Medicago truncatula: one gene and its partner. The main gene of each other region encodes a partner of the protein of the gene in region 2 in a complex. Links are inferred from orthologs where the notes say so. Each region holds a gene or a part of one and is shown on either strand. Other genes may lie near its edges.

What was found.
Region 1: protein STABILIZED1 (region 2) and zinc finger protein ZOP1 share a complex: the UniProt entries of both Arabidopsis thaliana proteins name them as parts of the pre-mRNA splicing complex. The link is inferred for Medicago truncatula from reciprocal best matches to the Arabidopsis thaliana genes EMB2770 and AT1G49590.

Annotation. Positions count from the first base shown.
Region 1 is NC_053045.1:41,915,562-41,919,318, forward strand, and holds the start of zinc finger protein ZOP1, read right to left. Parts: upstream 2,834-3,757; 5' UTR 2,623-2,833; coding exon 2,614-2,622; intron 2,386-2,613; coding exon 2,185-2,385; intron 1-2,184. UniProt on the Arabidopsis thaliana protein: Nucleic acid-binding protein that promotes Pol IV-dependent small interfering RNA (siRNA) accumulation, DNA methylation and transcriptional silencing.
Region 2 is NC_053048.1:31,976,080-31,979,836, reverse strand, and holds the start of protein STABILIZED1, read left to right. Parts: upstream 1-1,430; 5' UTR 1,431-1,556; coding exon 1,557-3,757. UniProt on the Arabidopsis thaliana protein: Pre-mRNA splicing factor required for splicing and for the turnover of unstable transcripts. May be a U5 snRNP-associated protein involved in the formation of U4/U6-U5 tri-snRNP. Involved in responses to abiotic stresses.

The sequences.
Region 1 (3,757 bases), on a different chromosome or scaffold from region 2:
CATGTATCAAATCTTTCACGAAAATAGAATAAACTTATGGGATAGTCGGTTCATGACATGCTATCTAAGCACAACGTAGACATTTTCCTAACAAGAATCATGCAGATTAGTTTTCATTCATGCTGGTAATTCAATTCTCTCTCTGTCTCAGCATATTCTAATAAGAGATTGACTAAGATACTGTAATATTTAAGATACAATAAATATTATGATATCAATCTAACACTTCCTCTCAATCAAAAACTTGCGTAGATTTAAGATTTTTACAGATGAGTCGGTCTTTCAGAAAGGAAAATATAATATGGGCTAGGCAAGACATGATTCGGAAGGAAACTCAACGAGGCTGGAGATGCCAAAAATGAGTACCAATGAAAAGAAGAGTAAAAACAAGAGTAAATCAGATGGGATGGATGTGATTTGGTGTGTCCACAAACATTATATGGTAATATGGTGTTGATAGTAGTCTTTGGATGTAAGCATGTAGGACAAAAGAACCATGTTTAATTGTGTAGTTTTAGTGATTACTTACTGGTGGTATTTATACAAGCATGGGTAGACAGGGATGTGACACTCTCCCAACAAATGTTACAAGAGCTATGAATCGAGAAAACACACGACGATACACTGTCTGTTGGCCTTTAGTGTAAAAAGTCAATCTGATGATGAAAGTTATTTTTTTTTATAATCATAAGTCGAACAATTTGAGTTTTTCTTGACATGGAAGCCAAGCATTGGCTTCCAAAGAACAATGGTGCAAGTATGAATATTTGATTTGGGATATTGCTAAGTAATATCTTGATCGTGATTTGGGATATTTGATTTGAGATATTGCTAAGTAATATTTGATTTAAGTAATATCTTGATCGTGATTTGGGATATTTGTTTTTGAACAATGAAGGAGAATATGAATTGAAAACATTGAAGAAAGCTCGTGGATGACAAGGTTAGAGATTGTTGGGTTCCAAAATACATAATTTGAAGGATAAAAGTGATAGTTTAATATTTCATTGAAGATTCACATGTCTTAATTTAGACATTAAAATGGAAAAGGACGTGCTAAATAAGTAATATATTGTGAAATTGTTTGATTTTAGAATTGTAAGATATATTACATATAAAACCATTAATGTTTTAATCCAATAGTATAATCTTTTTGGGGTAGAACTGAGTACGAGTTTATCGCTCTCATTCTTGTAAGTTGTAAATAAATGTTAAATTGCAGCACAAAGTACATGTGTACGTTACTTGACACTTGTCAACTTCAAGCCCAAAGGGCTTTTGCATGAGTGTTGTTCTAGATAAATTATGTGCATTCACTCAATAGCTTAACCTTTTGTTCCAGATAAAATATGATTGATGCATAAACTAATTATTTGAGGGTTAAATTAGAGAAGAAATTTGTTAGTTTGAAAAGATTAAACGATACTTAATATAATGTAGTTTAAAATTTACTAAATTGACGTCAATGTAAAACAATGAGAATGAAAAACCCTTCTGCATGACCGACTTTCAGTTGGAAATGAATCATGCAGTTGATGTTGTGTTGAAAATGATTTTTTTTTTTTAAGGAAAAAAAAAATCATTAATATGGATTCAAAATAATTTGGCATATTCTTCTCCTTTCTGCATTATTAACTCTAATATGAACCCAGAAAACCTTCTTATTTCAAGTCTAGACTACAGATCAAATGAGAACAACTCAGCCCCGTTCACTTACTTATGGTAATGCTAAAGAATAAAATATAAAAACCACGAAATAAAAATAAGTTCTTCTCAGGAAAATTATGTACAGTACATGCAAACTAATGTATGGAACAAATACAGTTTATACGATAGATCCCTGAGCACTTGATTGAAAAACACAGCTTCTCTAAAGTGGAGTTTCAGTAATGTTATATATATTGAATATTATAAATCTATTGAAAATATTACTCCAGTAATGTTATATTGCTAAGAATTGAAGATACAAGACAAGGCTTGGCCTGCTTACTGATATAACCCAAAGTTTTCTATCAATGTGAACTTTTTTTTCATAAGTAAATTCCGAATTTAAAAAGGCTATTATTCAAATAATATTCATTAACAACACATTCAAATTTTCTAGTAACCTTTCCAATGAAATGAAAATAAACATATGCATCGCAACAGAAACAATCATATTTTTAATAAGAATAAAAGTCTTACCGCCTCGATTTGCACAAGAGCATTAGCCGTTTCTTTGTGTTCTTTATCTTTAGCAGCATTCTCTTTTCGCATAGTCGCGAGCCGCTTTGTAACATTTTCCTTGTGCCTTGTGCCAAGCTCATGATTTCTGATGCTGGAAGGGTTGTTTGATATGTAAATTTTGCACACATCGCACCATTTGTTTCCCTGACTTACCCAGTACTGCAAAAACGAGAAAAACAGTTCATAATTAACACAAAGTGAAAACAAATTATTAGGTACAAGTCACAGCCAAACAAAGTGCATCTAAACTACAAGACCCAAGTCAAAAAAACATTTTTTTTTTTGTGTTTTTGATATGAAGTGACATAATATTGTTAAGGGAATACGAAAATGATGCATTTTTAGAATAATAAATTGAAATTTTGAGTAAGATTTTGTTGATCAAACCTCAGTCATGGTAGCAAATTAGGGTTTGAATGAAGAGCGGAGGAAGCTAAGCTTGAGAGGTAATTCACCAAACTCTGTTCAATTTTGAAAACCCTAATTCACCAGAATTGAAACAAGCTCTGTTACTTCTTCTCTCTTCGTGTTCTTTTTGGGGGGAATTAATGGAGATTTTTACTTTTTTTGTCAGATCATTGTTTTTTCTTCGTTGCGATCAGAAAGAAAGAAGACTACTGGTAATTCTTGTGGGCCTATTTTCAATCTAAATGGGCTTCAAATTGGGGCTAGCTGCCCAAGCCCAGCATAAGGTGTAACCCAGGTTAAAGGAGAAGTAGAACATTTCTCTTTATGCCCCCCTTAATATCTTTAAAGTCCCCTAAATATACATCTGATAGTTATCTACCGGATATACGTTTTTCAAAAAATTGTACATCCGATAAATAACTATCGAATATGTATTTAGGAGACCTTAGAAATATTGAAGGGATCTAAAGAGAAACACCCGAAGAAGTATACGATAAATTAAAATCAAGATAATATTTGCATATTTGTACAAAAATAAAATTGAAAATTATGTACAGTTGTTCAAATGCCGTATATCTATGGAAAATGATCCATATACACTCATGCATCCTATATATACATTGAGAGTGAAAGAAATAAAGATAGAAATGTAATCGAATAATGTTGTGATAGGAATAAAGAAATATAAAGAAAATGAAGTTTTGAAAGAGCGTTGAAGAATATAATTCTCTAAATATAAGAGCTCAAAATAATTCATAAATTTGACAATGAAAATCGTTAGCTCAGTTTAAGTTGTTAATGTGAAAACTTTTTTAATGGAAGATCTATACGTAACTTTATTAATGTTTGTTGTTCGCTGAATCTTGAAGCCATGTCCTGACTATGGTGATCTCCAAAACTCAACTAACCTACAATTTTGGATTCAAATCCCCTAATGTCACATGATGGTTTTGTACGACATGTATCGTTCATTTAGTCAACTACAGACAATCGACAATACATGTTAGTTGATAGATGATTCATATTCCGAACAAAACAAAAAATATGAGAAAAAAAAAATATGATTTTTTTTAAGTTTAAAAATAATAGGAGTTATATATATATATATATATATATATATATA
Region 2 (3,757 bases):
ATTACCACAAATTGCCTACCCACGAAAACAACACAACACTAGGCTACCATGATTTCCACCAAAACACAAATACATTATTTTTAATATTAAAACAAAAAAAAATGCAATTGTTTACTATGGTATCATAATTTTCGTTATTTGATTAGTCGTACAAAATATCACTTCTCATATATTATTCATTATTACGTGAGATGCATGACACAAAAGTCTCATGTAATACATGAGAAATAAGGGAGATAAGCATATTTCACAAAATATATTTGTGATTCATGCTTATATAGTTGGTGGTGTTTATTTTTAGAGATAGTTGGTGCTGATGTTTATGATTGGAATGCATCATATTTAACCAGTAGGAATGTGAGAAAATCAACAATGCGTGATGATTACCTTACAATCAAAGATTCAAAATTGATTTTTCAATTTAAATTAATGATACATTAATTTTGCTTTCATCTTTTATTTAACTAATAAAGCATGCACTCACCAAAATCTCATATGTTTCTAAATGCATTTCTTTGTTAATTAATTCAAACAAGTTGTGAATCAATTCACAACATCAAATATTGTATTAACTAATTTCTAACAAAATTTTATTTGAACAACAACTTTGTTAGTTTTGAGAAAAATTAATTTGCAGTGTTATTTTGGGTTGTTTGACCTAATGTTTCTTAGATTTATTTATATATTATGCAATGGACAAGATAATAAACATATATAAGATCTATTATAAAAAAAATAGATCTGATCTATTATACTGGTGATTCCTTTTCAAATACATATAAGTCTTAGTTTTTCTTATTTTTTAGAAAAGTTTCGGAGGAATCTGATCAAGGAGCAATGCTATATATCAAGAAAGATTTTTTTAAGAAAATTTTAAGAATGACATGGCAGAATAATCATCCTTAGATTTTATCAAGAAATAGTTCTGAAATTAATGTTAACCAATAAAATCTCAGTCTGGCCGGAAATCATGGGGTGATGGGTGTTATGTATCTTTTTTTTATGAAAGATTTGAGACTGAAATCTAAAGGTGATTATTGTGCCATGTCATTCTTGAATTTTTCTTATAAAATCATTCTTGATATCTAGCATTTTCCCTGATCAAGTATCTCGAAAACTGAATTGTTTTACTTTCAGCATACCATAACTCAGCGACAGTTGCTAGCGAGCGGTTGTTAAATGTCGTTGATACTTAACTGCCACTAGGGTCATTAAGGTAAATTTTAGGTGTGATTGAGCAATTTTCAAAGTGAGAAGAACAAAATCCTAATAAAAAAAGTCCAAGCCCAAACCCAATTTTTTGGTGGTGACCGAGTTTTAAATCTCGAACTTTTAATCTCTACCAAAGCTAAGTTCACAAGAACATCACATCAGAGACCTATTTAATTATATCCCATGTTTTTTCACAGAAAATAAATAGGAAAAGGAAACGATTTTTTTTTTTAAAGAGGAAACCAATTTTCTTAAGTCGGTTTTCACGCATCTCTTATATTCTTCTTAATCTCCATCAACCAAAAACGAAACCTTGCGACGTTAATTCTCTATAACCAAAAACCATGGTATTCATCGTTCCACCCACCGGAAAAATCCTCTCCCTCGACATAAACCCTAACACCACCACTCTCCACAATCTCAAAACTGAAATCGAAAATTTCCACGGAATTCCAATTTCACACCAACGATTATTCCTTTCACAGAGTCTCAAATTACTCGCCGATAACGATTCAACCCTAATCTCAAATCTCGGTGTTGGAAATTACTCAACCCTAACCCTACACGTCCCCTTTTACGGCGGAACACAACCACCCGCCGTCCCCAAACCGCCTCGTTTCGATTTTCTTAATTCCAAACCGCCTGCTAATTATGTTGCCGGACTTGGTCGTGGTGCCACCGGGTTTACTACCCGGTCTGATATTGGTCCGGCGCGTGCTGCGCCGGATCTTCCTGATAGATCAGCACCAGGTGCCGCACCAGCTGGTGCGGCTCCCATTGGGAGAGGGAAAGGTAGGGAGGATGTTGCTGAGGAAGATGATGAAGGGGAGGATAAGGGGTATGATGAGAATCAGAAATTTGATGAGTTTGAAGGGAATGATGTGGGGTTGTTTGCTTCTGCTGAGTATGATGAGGATGATAGAGAAGCTGATGCTGTTTGGGAAGGGATTGATAAGAGGATGGATTCGAGGAGGAAGGATCGGAGAGAGGCGCGGTTGAAGGAGGAGATTGAGAAGTATAGAGCTTCGAATCCGAAGATTACTGAGCAGTTTGCTGATTTGAAAAGGAAGTTGTATACTTTGTCTACTGATGATTGGCAGAGTTTGGAGAAGTTTGAGAGTGGTGGTTATTCGTCAAAGAATAAGAAGAAGAGGTTTGAGAGTTTTGTTCCTGTGCCTGATACGCTTCTTGAGAAAGCGAGGCAGGAGCAAGAGCATGTGACTGCGTTGGATCCTAAGAGTAGGGCTGCTTCGGCGAATGGGACTGAGACTCCGTGGTCACAGACGCCGGTTACTGATTTGACTGCTGTTGGTGAGGGGAGAGGGACTGTTTTGTCGTTGAAATTGGATAGGTTGTCCGATTCAGTTTCTGGGATGACTAATGTTGATCCGAAGGGGTATCTTACTGTTTTGAATAGTATGAAGATTACTAGTGATGCTGAGATTTCTGATTTTAAGAAGGCTAGGTTGTTGTTGAAGAGTGTTACTCAGACGAATCCGAAACATCCTCCTGGTTGGATTGCTGCTGCAAGGTTGGAGGAGTTGGCGGGTAAGCTTCAGGCGGCTAGGCAGTTGATACAGAAAGGGTGTGAAGAATGTCCCAAGAATGAAGATGTGTGGTTGGAGGCTTGTAGATTGGCAAATCCCGATGATGCCAAGGCTGTGATAGCTCAGGGTGTTAAGTCAATTCCCACTTCAGTTAAGTTGTGGATGCAGGCTTCGAAATTGGAAAACGATGATATGAATAGAAGTAGGGTGTTGAGGAAAGGGTTGGAGCACATTCCTGATTCTGTTAGGTTGTGGAAGGCTGTTGTGGAGCTTGCAAATGAAGAAGATGCTAGACTTTTACTTCACAGAGCTGTGGAATTTTGTCCATTGCATGTAGAATTGTGGCTTGCGCTTGCTAGGTTGGAAACTTATGACAATGCCAAGAAGGTTCTCAATAAGGCAAGAGAGGGGCTGCCCAAGGAGCCAGCAATATGGATAACGGCCGCCAAGTTGGAAGAAGCTAATGGGGGGGCTAAAGAGTTTATTACATTGGCCGATGGGACGAAGGTAAACAAGGTTGAAACGATTACTAGAAGGGGTATAAGGGCTTTGCAAAATGGAAATATGGTGATTGATAGAGAAGCTTGGATGAAGGAAGCTGAGGCGGCAGAACGAGCTGGTTCAGTTGCAACATGCCAGGCAATAATCAAATGTACTATTGGAATTGGAGTTGAAAAAGAAGATAGGAAGAGAACATGGGTTGCCGATGCTGAGGAATGCAAGAAAAGAGGTTCTATTGAGACTGCTAGAGCTATATATGATCACGCCTTAAGTGTCTTCTTAACTAAGAAGAGCATATGGATCAAAGCAGCACAACTTGAAAGGAGTCATGGTACCAGGGAAACTCTTGATTCATTACTTCGCAAAGCAGTTACCTACAGACCACAGGCTGAAGTTCTTTGGCTTATGGGTGCCAAGGAGAAGTGGCTTGCTGGAGATGTGCCTGCCGCCCGTGCAATTCTCCAAGAAGCTTACGCTGCTATTCCCAATTCAGAGGA